3 linked regions of the Sus scrofa genome follow. The protein of the gene in region 3 interacts with the protein of the main gene of each other region in a biochemical or structural test. Links are inferred from orthologs where the notes say so. Each region holds a gene or a part of one and is shown on either strand. Other genes may lie near its edges. The genes, in order: EFEMP2, ELN and LOX.

What was found.
Region 1: the proteins of LOX (region 3) and EFEMP2 form a complex in vitro, tested with the Homo sapiens proteins (2 studies listed by IntAct, with this or other methods). The link is inferred for Sus scrofa from reciprocal best matches to the Homo sapiens genes LOX and EFEMP2.
Region 2: the proteins of LOX (region 3) and ELN form a complex in vitro, tested with the Homo sapiens proteins (2 studies listed by BioGRID and IntAct). The link is inferred for Sus scrofa from reciprocal best matches to the Homo sapiens genes LOX and ELN.

Annotation. Positions count from the first base shown.
Region 1 is NC_010444.4:6,453,823-6,458,032, reverse strand, and holds the start of EFEMP2 (EGF-containing fibulin-like extracellular matrix protein 2), read right to left. Parts: upstream 2,879-4,210; 5' UTR 2,780-2,878; intron 2,423-2,779; 5' UTR 2,363-2,422; intron 2,055-2,362; 5' UTR 2,048-2,054; coding exon 1,937-2,047; intron 1,711-1,936; coding exon 1,662-1,710; intron 1,052-1,661; coding exon 845-1,051; intron 1-844. UniProt on the Homo sapiens protein: Plays a crucial role in elastic fiber formation in tissue, and in the formation of ultrastructural connections between elastic laminae and smooth muscle cells in the aorta, therefore participates in terminal differentiation and maturation of smooth muscle cell (SMC) and in the mechanical properties and wall integrity maintenance of the aorta.
Region 2 is NC_010445.4:11,224,370-11,228,009, reverse strand, and holds part of ELN (elastin-like precursor), read right to left. Parts: intron 2,334-3,640; coding exon 2,298-2,333; intron 1,811-2,297; coding exon 1,715-1,810; intron 1,479-1,714; coding exon 1,428-1,478; intron 1,345-1,427; coding exon 1,282-1,344; intron 596-1,281; coding exon 548-595; intron 1-547. UniProt on the Homo sapiens protein: Major structural protein of tissues such as aorta and nuchal ligament, which must expand rapidly and recover completely.
Region 3 is NC_010444.4:125,604,145-125,608,229, forward strand, and holds the start of LOX (protein-lysine 6-oxidase precursor), read right to left. Parts: upstream 2,883-4,085; 5' UTR 2,867-2,882; coding exon 2,230-2,866; intron 1,884-2,229; coding exon 1,775-1,883; intron 401-1,774; coding exon 263-400; intron 1-262. UniProt on the Homo sapiens protein: Responsible for the post-translational oxidative deamination of peptidyl lysine residues in precursors to fibrous collagen and elastin. Regulator of Ras expression. May play a role in tumor suppression. Plays a role in the aortic wall architecture.

The sequences.
Region 1 (4,210 bases), about 120 Mb from region 3:
GACACAGGCCAGATACCGCTCACGTGGGTGTGTGGGTGACTGACACCCCCAAAACAGGAACGCACAGCCCACCCAACAGCACAAATAAGAATCTGCTGGTCTGGAGTCCCTGGGATATCGGCACCCCTACCCTGGGAGACCCCATGTCAGGGAAGCAGAGGAAATAAGGCCCTGTCCATGCTCCCAGGAACACTGATTGATTCCAGAACCTTCTTCTGAGGCCTATAGCACCCAGGAGTGGGGTGCAAACCAGGAAAGGGGAAGAGGCTGACAGCGAGCGCTCCCGCGGTGCACCTGCAGTGATCAAAAGGAGGATCCCGGAAGCTGGCTGGGCATGGGACGGGAGCTGGGCAGGCCCCCCACAGTGAGGATCTGGACAAGGGGCTGGATATTATTATGCCAGCGGCCCCGAGGAAGCTTTTTATTTTTTTATTTATTTATTTTATTTATTTATTTATTTATTTTGTCTTTTTTGTTGTTGTTGCTATTTCTTGGGCCACTTCCGCGGCATATGGAGGTTCCCAGGCTAGGGGTTGAATTGGGGCTGTAGCCACCGGCCTACGACGCCAGAGCCACAGCAACGCGGGATCCGAGCTGCGTCTGCAACCTACACCACAGCTCACGGCAACGCCGGATCTTTAACCCACTGAGCAAGGGCAGGGACCGAACCCGCAACCTCATGGTTCCTAGTCGGATTCGTTAACCACTGCGCCACGACGGGAACTCCCCCGAGGAAGCTTTTGAGCCAGGGAGGAACATGAGCTGTGAGTTTTTAAAATGCAGTGATAGACACTTGATAGAAGGATTGGAAGCCTCAGCACCAGGGCAACCGACCCTCACTCACCCACGCAGTTCTCTTGCTCATCCGGTTCATAGCCTGGTAGGCAGGGGGTGGCGTGTTCAGCAGGGGACACTGGTGGTGGTGGTCCCTCGCCATGCAGGTCATTGATGACAGCCGCCGAGCGGGGCAGGCACAAGTAGCCCCCGTAGTGGTTGATACATTTCATTTCCCCCTTGCAGGCCTCGGGGATGGTCAGGCATTCATTGACATCTGCGGAGAGGGGCCTGCTGGGCACAGCCAGTCTCCTGGGCTGGCCACGGAGGGGGTGGGCGGCAGGAGCCCAGTGCAGCCTCCTCTAAGCTGCGTGACCCAGGAAGGGCCTTCCCACTCTCCTCAGCTAAGGCTGCCTGCCCAGGACCACTTCCCAGTGCCACCAGGGCTGGTGGCAGGCTGGCTCTTGCTCCACTCACTTCCATTCTCTTATCCCCAAGAGGGTCTCTATGCCGCCCCAGAGCCCTGGTCCCAACTCAGCCCAAGAGTGAGGTGCAGGCCTTCTCGCCCACCCCCGCAGACGCTGCCCTCCCAGGTCACGATGGCACGAAGCTGGGTGGGAAAGTGATTAGAGGAGGTGGCCAGGAACCATGCCTCTGGGCAGCGCCCTGTTGGTCTCTGGACTCCTGGGGGGTGGGAGGAGGCTGTCCCATGTTTTTCTGAGAGGGAGGGGCCTGGATGGCTTCTCCACCCCCAGCTAAGCTGGCCCCCTGAGAACCAGAGCTGGCCACGGCCAGGCAGAGCTGGGCAGGGGACAGGCCACTGACTCCCACAGCAGCTCTCCGTGCTGGAGTTGCAATCCACTTCCTGGTGCTCCAAGCATACTCACCCCGGCAGTGCTGGCTGTCGGGGTCCCACTCATAGCCATCTGTGCATTCCTACAGGGGGACCAGAGGTGGCCAGTGGTCACCCCCTCTCCTCTAACTGACCAGGCCAAGACCAGAGCCCAAGCTTGGCCACCCTCCCCGCCTGCTCCAAACAACAGCTCCAGCTGCTCCACGGACCAGGGGAGGGGAGAACCTGCCCCAGCAGCAGCCACCCCAGGATCCTGGTCTTGGTGTCCCTGCCCAGCCCAGCCCAGGCCAGGGGCTCCACTGTCCCCACCGTGTAGCTGTCGGGCTCCTCCGAATCCTGGGGAGACGCTGCCCCCAAGAGCAACAGCAGCAGCGTCCAGAGCAGTAGAGACCCGGGGAGGCAGGAGGCGAAGGGGAGCATCCTGGGGCTGGGAGGTAGTGAGTGGGGGTCAGGGCGTCTGGGCCACGGATCCCCCATTGCCCGAACCAGGACTCAGAGACCTGGTCCCCGACACCACCCGCCCGGGACTGTGTCTGGGGCTTCGGAGCCTCCCAGGGCCGGGGGTCGACTGATCACGCAGGCCGGGGTTCAGGGCCCACCCGCCCCGGGTCGCCCCGCCCCCGCCCGGTCCCCCAGTGGCTCGGGCCGAGGAGCGCAGGCCTCTGGCTCGGTGCTGACGCCGCCGACTCGGCCGAGACTCTGGCTGGCGCCCTCCCCCCATGGACGGCCACTCACTTGGGCCCGTGACGGCCCGGAGGCCCGCGGCTCCGGCGGCTCGGCTGGCTCCGGTAGTGCCTGCGGGAGACGGACAGGCGGACAGCGCAGCTCCCTGGACGCGCGGCCCCAGGAAGCGCCCCCCGCCCGCCTGCCGCGGCGCGGCCCACCCCGGCGCCTCCGCCCGCCCCTCGGCGGATTCCTGAGCCCGCGCCAGGGGGAGGGACCCCGACCCCCGCTTCTCCGCCCCCGGCCGGCCACAGGCCCCACCCGGTCCCCCGCGGCGCCGCCCGGAGCCGCCTCCCGGCGCCAGGCCAGGGTCCCTTAGCACAGGATCCTGGGGCATTGACCCTGATGTCAAGCCCCCAACTCACTCTGGAGCCCCCAGGCTCTCAGTTTGTGCACCCAAAAATGTCATCCTGCGCACCTAGACCTTACCTAATCTGCACCCCTGGAATTCCTGTGCACCCACATCTTAATGCCAGGGACCCAGACTCTGCGCCTCCCAGAATGTCATCCTGGGCCCTTAGACTCCACCTAACCCTGGAACTTGCAGATCCTCCTCACTCTGCGCCACCAGAGTGTTATTCTGTGCACCCGGACAGTTATTCTGGAAATACCACAACCGCAACTTCATCCAGGGTCCCCAGACCCTCGCCCTGAGAAGAGAGACGCTCCCAGGTCCAGAACCGTCCAGTTCTGTCCCTTCTCCCTTCCATCCCCGGGACTGTCTTCAGCCAGGCGGTCCCTTCACTCCAGGACGGCCTCCCCCGGGCCCTCAGTCCCTGAGGCTACATCAGTTTGGGGCGGGGGCGGCAGTTCACTTTTGGCTCAGAATGAATGGAAGCCCCTGAGAAGTCGAGCAGGGCTGAACTCGGGCGTGCAGGGCTCCAGGGTCCGGGGCCATCACCTTCCTGGCCATCTTCCTACCAATGTCTCCCCCGCACACACCCCACCTCCCTGCCCCGGGCTGTCTGCCTCTTTTCCCAGGGAGACGGAGCGCCTTAAGGGGAGGAGATTGGGCGGAGCTGGCTCCCAGGAAGGGGCGTGGTCTCGCCCTGCCCACGTCTCAGGGCGGGGCCAGACGGGAAAGGGCTGCGTGTCCAGGGAACCCCTGCCTGGAGGCAGATGGCCAGCAGGAACTGTTAAGCCCTTTCCCACCCCAAGTGGTCCTCATAATCGCCCCCTATAGCAGCCCCGCCCGAGGGGGGTGTGTGAAGGAGAGGACATTCCAGGGGGTCCTGAGGTGACCCTTTCGGGTTCAGGGTGAAATGGAGAGCTCCTACCTCCCCTTCCCCCACATCCTCTAAGCAGCCCCCTCTCCCCGCATCCCTGGGGTGAGGGCGGGGGAGGAGGCTAAAAATAATAACTCCTTAAAACCAAAAAGACAGACAATAACAAGTGTCGGGGATGTTAAGGAGAAATTGAAACCTTGAAACGGTCATACACTGTGGGTGGGAATGTAAAGTGGGAGGACTCCTGGGGAAAACAGTCTGGCAGGTTCTCAAAATGTGAACACATGCCCCAGTGATGTCCCGCCTAGGTATACGCCCGGGGCATTGAAAACGTATGTCCACACCAAAAGCCTGTGCACGATGGTCATAGCAACACTAGTCATAAGAACCAAAATACAGGAGTTCCCCTCATGGCTCAGCAGTTAACAAACCCAACTAGCATCCATGAGGTCCTGGGTTTGATCCCTGGCCTTGCTCAGTGGGTTAAGGATCTGGCATTACGTGAGCTGTGGTGTAGGTCAAAGACGTGGCTCAGATCTGGTGTTGCTGTGGTTCTGGCATAGACCAGCAGCTACAGCTCTGATTGGACCCCTAGCCTGGGAACCTCCATGTGCCATGGATGCAGCCGGAAAAA
Region 2 (3,640 bases), on a different chromosome or scaffold from region 3:
GTGCTGCCACCTTTCCTGTCTCCCCTGGGGCTGGGACACCACAGTGGGGAGGGGCCGAGGGGGGACGCTCTGCCAACAAATCCCGCAGAGCAGCCTGGACCGGGCTTTTGGGGGAATTCAGGAGGTCACATGCTGGGTGGGGTGGCCGGGCCCTGGCAGGGAACGAGGGTGAGAGGGCAGCTCTGAGGGTCTCCTGCAGGGCGGATGCACTGGGCGGGCCCCCTGGTGACTCACGGCTTTTGGGAAACAGCTGGCCCCAGTGGGGACTTATTTGTCCTTGGGGGGCCCACCCCAGGCTGTGACGATGGTCTGGGTCTGAGCCTGGGCTCAGGGCTTGGGGGGCCGGGGGAGCTCACTGACCCTCACAGGGGAAAGATGAATAGGAGTTTTAAGTCTGTAGCCTGAGCTTGGACACTTAGAGAAACAGTGCCAGTCAGGACCCAGGGTCTCCGGGGGCCTCAGCTTGGGGGGCTGTGAGGGGCCATGCCGGAAGCTGCCAGGGGCTGCCCTCCTTGCCCTAGAGCCCCCTTCCCCTCCTTGTTCTCACCTGTGCCCGGGAGCACTCCACCAGGGTAGACACCTGGGAGCCCCACACCTGTGGCCAAAAGAAGGCATGTGAACAGTAGCCTGGCCTCCGGGAGCCCCTCGTGGCCCATCCCTCCATGGCAGCTCCAGGGCTCCCAAACCAGCCACCCTGGTTCCCCGGTGGGAACAGCCAGAGACAGTGTGCAGTGGCTGCAGCCCTCCTCCCACGAGTTCCGGAAGTCTTCTGCCAACCCCTCTGTGCGTGGATTTGTCTCGTCTCCTAGAGCCTGTTTACATGGTCGGCACAGCCCACCCCTGGACTAACAGCTTCCAGATGTTCCCGCCCTGCTGTGTGGACTTAGGCAGCCTTTTGTTTAACCTGAAGTCACTTCTTCAAGGGCCTGGCGCAGAGGAACCAGCCCCAGATGGGGAGTGTGCACACCTCAGGCTCCCCCAGCTGCGCCATGACGGGCCGCGTGGGCCCTTCTGTCCTGCCTCCCCATTCTGAGCCTCAGCATCGCCACCTGTCACCTGAATGCCCACCCCAGAGTCTGTCCCTGAGGTCTGCTCCAAGGTCGTGGGAGAAGGGCCTGGAAGACAGGCCGGGGCCCCCTCGGCCCTATTTCGGACACGGCCCCTCACTTGGGGCCTGGCTACCTTCCCTGCCCCAGGCCCTGTCCTTCCTGCTCAGGGGGTCTTGGAGGCTCTGGCCCCTCCCTGACCTCTGCCCATCAGTCCCAGGGACCCCACACTGACCTGGTACTTTCCCTGGCTTCGCGCCAGCTCCAACTCCTGCTCCGAGTTGAGGTACCACTGCACCTGGTAGGGAAGGGGCTGCATCAGAGCGGGCTCCGCCCACACCCGCAGCCTTCTCCGGGGCCACGTGGGTCTAGCCTCCGTACCTGTAGACACTCCTAAGCCGCCGACACCACCGACGCCGCCAAGCCCGGCACCTACAGAGCCAGGCGTGGAAGAGGAGGAGGTCACACCAGAAACAGCGAAAGGCAGCGGGGCCTGCGCTGAGGCCTGGCCCTGCCACCACCTCATTTTGAGACTAAGGCCCAGCTTGATGCCTCCCCAAACCCCAGCAGATTGGAGCTGAGGCTGCCCCCCAGGAAAAGCCCTTGGCAAAGTGGAGAGCCCCCAGAAGCCACAGAGCTCTTGGCTTGTCCCAAAGGGTAACACTCACCAGCCTTGGCAGCAGCTTTATAGGCTGCGGCCGCGTCAGCCACGCCGCCGGGCACCAGAGCCCCTGGGAAGGCGCCTGCAGGAAAGGCCCCGAGCCCTGCAGGGAGGAGGGTGGGCTGAGGTCCTGCCCCCCACCCTCACCCCACCCCTGGCCCCACTGCCCCCAAGAGGTCCATCTGAGGCTCTCCTGCTCTCTGTAGGACTGCCCTGCCCAGCTGTGACCACTGCTCACAGCACTGGGTTCTCTGTCCCAGACTGCTCCACTTAGCCTGACAAACTGTGGGATCTTCTGGAGTCCAGATTCTATACCCGCCTCCTCCAGAAAGCCTTCCTGAAGCGCAATGGGGTGGGCGACTCCTATGGGTGCTGGGGCCGCTTCCCTCCTGCTCTCACAAATTACCTATGTCATCATATCCGTGACTCCCCTGTGCTCTGGGCAGCTGCTGAGGCGGGCGGTCTCAGCATTACCCCCAGCACCAGTGCCCGGGACAGGCCTGGTCTCACCCCAGCACCCCAACTGCCCTCCATTCTGGGCAGATGCCCCAGCCCCCAGAGGGGCATCTTGCCTGGGTGTCAACACTAACCTGCCCCAAGGCCAGCGCCTGCGAGCCCTCCGACACCTGCAGGGAGAAGAAGACACAGCCAGGTGAGGGGAGGCAGGTGTGGGGCATCGTCCCTGGGCCTGGGGCGGGGAAGGGTCTCCTGGAATGGGGGCGGGAACCTGGCAAGGCTGTGGTTGGTGTGGGGCAGCCCAGGCCTCTAAGCTGGACTCAAGCCTTTGGTCCTGGGCGGGGGTGGGGCGGTGGGGGGGGGGTCAATCCCGACAAAATAGCAGCCGCTGTTTAGCCACCAACTGCTATGTGCCATGTGGACATGACTGCATTGACCTGTCTGCCCCCAACATGCCCCAATCAGACTCAGTTCCCTCAGAAGACCCGCCAGCTAACGGGAACCCAGCAGGGCTTTCGGTGAAGGCTGGAGCTGAGCAGAATCTGCCAGCCAGACTTCACCCAGGCCAGCCCTGCCCTGCTTCCACGACAGTCCCCACCCTAAGACTCTCTTTGGCTTCCTTGCAGGGTCTCCTGGCTCAGGCCATGTCCGCTTCCCTGTGTCTGGAGCCCCTTTTGTCTTCCACCATCTGCCTGTCCATCCAGCTAGCCCGCCCTGCAGTCTAGGAGCCTCTTTGCTTACAGACAGATGCTAAAATGTTTATAAAAAGCCAAATGGGTCCCCCTGGCTCTCTCCTTCCCACATCTGGGCCCGAGCTCTCCTCTTCCCCCTCCAGGAGACATTCCACGGCTTTGGCCAGGACCCACGGGCAGTCAGGTTGGAGTTCACAACCATGCCGGGTTGGTCTCTGAAAATGTGAGCGTCTCTCCCACAAGAGCCAGTCCTGGCCACTGGGGTCCCGCGCGCGCAGGGGTGGCCTCTCTGGGGACTGACTGCAACCTGCGGGAGTGCTGAGCCCTGGAGGGTCGGCCTGGCTTTCACTGGGTGTGGTTCCCCCACTCCCGTTTCCTACCTCCGGGAACTGGCCAGTCTGAAACTCGGCCAGCCCCCCAGCAAGACAGGTCTCTAACTCTGGGCAGGTGTGGTGCCATCAGGCTGGGCCTGGCACGTTCCCGGGTTCACCTCCCAGCATTACAGGCCCTGTCAGGGGTTTCTCTCAAGCCAGCCTGTTTCCTGACTTCCAACAGGGGCAGGGGACCTGTTCGGGCCTTTCCTGACCAGAAGGGCTGGAAGGAGAAGATGGGGACCAAACAGGAGGTGAGAAGGGCCTGGGTGGGCGGGCGGGGCAGGCAGCCCCTCTGCAGTCATCTGCCCCTTTCCCACGCCCCCCTCTGCCCCGCCCCTGCTCGCCCTCCTTCCAGTGGACTCACCTGGCCCAAATGCCCCACGGAGTCCAGCCCCCGGGAAGGAGGAGAGA
Region 3 (4,085 bases):
GATGATTTTGATTGTAACAGGTTTTTTTGGAAATCTTACCTGTATTATATTGGTGTAAAATTCTAGTGAAGCCAGTTGCTGTATTCTGTCAACAGTTTTAATAAGCTGGGCTTAAAGTTCCCAATTAAAAAAAAAAAATGTGACATAGTAGGTGATATATTATCTTAAAGACAAATTTTAATCTTCTACCTTTGTATAAAAATTTTTCATATCCAAATGAAAAAGCAACTCTTTAAATACACCAGGAGGCCCATCCACTTACTGGTGACAGCTGTGCCATTCCCAGGAATATCTTGGTCGGCTTGGTAAGAAATCTGATGTCCCTTGATTTTTCACTCTTTGGGGAAATCTTAGCAGCACCCTATGATCATAATCTCTGACATCTGCCCTGTATGCTGTGCTGTGATTTTGAAAAAAAGAGACATTATTATTTTCACAAAATATTAACTAAAAACAAAGCTACATATAAAACCTTCCCATTTTATAATGGTGACTACTGTCTTCGCTTAACTAGGCCATCAGCTCCCAGAGGCCAGGGCATTTTGCCTACATTTTTTTAAACAGTTGATTAAATAAGATGTCAACTGGAGAAATAGCTCTAAAAGAGTGCATCCACATTAGATAAATACTTTAGGAGTTCCCATCATGGCTCACTGGTAACGAGCCCAACTAGTATCCATGAAGACGCAGGTTCGATCCCTGGCCTCTTTCAGTGAGGATCTAGCGTTACTGTGAGCTGTGGTGTAGGTCACAGACATGGCTTAGATCCCGAGTTGCTGTTGCTGTGGCGTAGGCCAGTGGCTACAGCTCCCATTAGACCCCTAGCCAGAGAATGTCCGTATGCCACAGTTGTGGCCCTAAAAAAAAAGGAAAAAAAAAGTCTTAATAAACACTTTAATAACTATCTTTAAGACAGTGACATTATTGTAGTAATAATATCATAGGGAGTGCAGTGGTATGATTAATGCAAGATTTCCAAGAATGAAAATGATGAGCTTGGATTTCTTCTCTTCTTTTAGACTGACAGGAGTCAAAGTAGAAGAAATTCACAAAATAAACAAACATTACTGTTTTTTGCTAATGTATTTTGTGTGAATTTATATATTCAGATACTACTGGTGACCTTATTTTATATTTTTAAAAAATTCTTTGCATCCTATCCAAACATCATTTGCTCCCTCTGCTGGTTTCCAAGCAGCAAACTCAGAGAATTCCATTCCCCAAATTGCTAAGATTTTATTTTAGGACTAATGCAAAAACAAAGCTCTTGCTCATGTTCTTATTCTGGCTGAAGTAATACCAAAACAACTAAGTTAATTGTGGCTTCAATCAAAAAAAAAGGAAACTGTAGCACCCAAAGAGGGGTGCCACGCTGGATCAGTGGCCCCAATCTTTCAAGGGGGCATTAACAAGCTCTTTCAGCACAATATTTTTCCATGTTATTGTGCACTAGTTTAATAGAACATTATTAGAAATAGCTCCAGAGTTTAAGGATCTTTGGGAAAATAGGAAACCCCCCTCACACACTTTTTTTTTTTAGGGGTTTGCTTCATCTCCCTGACTCGTGCCACTGTTTGAAAGACAGAACCCACAAAAGTCTTCAAAATTTTAACTCTCCATCCAGGTCAGCATGCTTAGGAGATAATGTTCTACTTCCCAGCGCGCATCCCATGTCCCAAATCTTGTCTGCACCGAAGAGTGGTCAGAACCAGGCACCTGAGCAGCGCCCCCAGAACCAAGACGGGGAGCTGGGCTGGGAGATCCCAGATGGTACCTGGCCAAGCAGTTTTCCTCCGCAGCGCATCTCAGGTTGTACATGGACATCTTCTGCACATACGTGGATGCCTGGATGTAGTAAGGGTCAGGCACCAGATCAGGAAGACCTAAAAGTTAGCAGGCAAAGCGCAAAGAGGTGAGACAACTTAGAGGCGCCCACCCTTGCCCCCTACTCCACGACCCTTACTCATCACCCTTCACCCATGGGGACTGCGGTGTCGGGTTTCGGGTAACAGAAGAATGGGGATGGCCTGGGCTGCAAAGTAAAGTGGAAAGGAAGCAGGAGGGGCCAGGCGCGCGGTTTGCACCAGATTCCAGGGCTGCCTCTGCAGGCGCTGGGGGAGGGATGGGATCTGCACGGACTGAGGCCTGCCGCGCCCAGGCAGCCACGTCGGGGAGCCACGGAGTTGGGGAAGGGGTGCGTGGGTTTTCTGGCGACTTGGGGGTGCTTACCGTACTGGAAGTAGCCTGTTCCATATCCGGGCCGATACCTGCTCCCAGGCCGGGGCCTTTCGTACGTGTCATAGTAGTTGTAATAAGGGTTGTCGTCGGAGTACTTGTAAGGATTGTACGGGTCATCGCCCACCATGCCGTCCACGTCCACGCGGCTGGGTGGCTGCAGATTACTGAGCGCTGGGAGCTCTCCAGGTGCCGTCTGGTTACCGGCACTCGAGGCCCCAGCGTCGCGAGCCCCAGACGTCGAATAGCCAGCTTGGAACCAATGGCGGGCTGCGGGCCTGGGGCGGCCGGCGACGGCTCCGGACGAGAGGGCGGTTCGCGCCCGCGCCGCAGCAGTGCGGTTGTTGCGGAGCAGCAGGATTGGCGTGCGCAGCTGCGGGGTGGTGGCGTTGGCTGCGCCTGGGGCGGTGGCGCCAGGGTCCCGTCGCCGCTGTGGCTGGTACTGTGAGCCCAGGCTCAGCAGGCTGAACACCTGCCCGTTGTTCTCCCATTGGATCTTCTGGCGCCAGGCGCCGGGAGCTGCCGGCGGCTCGCGAGGGGGCTGTTGCTGGCCAGTGGCCGGCGGGGCGCAGCGCACCGGTGCGCAGAGCTGCAGCAACCCGAGCAGAAGTGAGGTCCAGGCGAAGCGCATCGCTCCCTTTGCCGGATTGTCCCCGCTCCCGGAGGACGTAGCTCGGAGAAAAGGAAAACGAGGCTCAAATCACGTGAGGGAGGGAGAACTCTTCAACCACGGAGGCGGGCGGGTTGCGCGGGTATCTCAGTCCCTACCAAGCAATGCCAAGGGTGGGCTGCAGACCCTTCCCAGTAAAGGCGGCTGCTGGGACGTGGCACTCGCCTCTTTCCTCTTTCCCAGTTCTGGAAGGCGACGGGGAGCGGCGCGGCGGCCCCAGCGAACGGCAGTGTCTGGAGTGAAGGAAGGAGGAGAGATTTTAAACTTTCTGGCACATTTGCAAAGTTACACAAGCCGTTCTGGCCCAGCCGCCCCTCCGCTATTTGTTCACGTAATGCGATTGGAAACGTGCAAGGCGGACAGCTCCTCGCCTCTGCCCCTCCCTCCCCTCCCCGTCGTGTCCTCCTCCCCCCAGACACGTTGCACAGGGAACGTTAAGGGGAAAGAACAAAACGGAACACACATCCTGAGACACACTAGGCTTAATCTGGGGCGAACATGCAGGAATTTCAAAAGACTCAGACAGGCGAAGGCAGCCAGGCCATGGGGCGAAGCCAAAATATGCACGAAGAAAAATGCTATTAAGTCACCAGCCCGGGAGAGGCGGGAAGTCAGGAGGTGGGGAGGGTGCTGGGGGCGAGAGTCGGGGAGGGGGAAGCGGTGGGCGGAGGGACGATTGTGACTAACGTTTATCCATAAGGAGTTAACCAGACAGATTTCCCAATGCACACTCCTCGCTTTTATGGGAAGCGCCCTCAGCAAATAAGCCTCAAGATATCAAATTTTGTTTTTCTGTGTGTAGGTAATATGAGAAATGGGTTACAAATTTATTTCCTACAGTGAATATTTTAATAACCAAAAGTGAAATTTTACAAGGAACAAAGCCAACTAACACTGAAGCAGAGAATAAACCTGTGTCTTTTTAAAAATGCCGGCCTGATTTGTACTTTGAGTGGAAGTGAAGAACCCATCTTTCATTTCCAGTGTCTATCAGGAAGTTTGAGTAAAGAGAGCTAGAGTAAGCCTGTCTGTAGAACACTCAGAAAGGCAGTTTCAAATAAGCATTTCATCTGACTTTTTTTCTCTTTATATGTCTAATAAGGAAGTTTGACTTTGGATTTTTTTTTAAATCTTAAATCACCTTTTGCTAAATATTGAAAAGTCAGTAAAGAACCCTGAT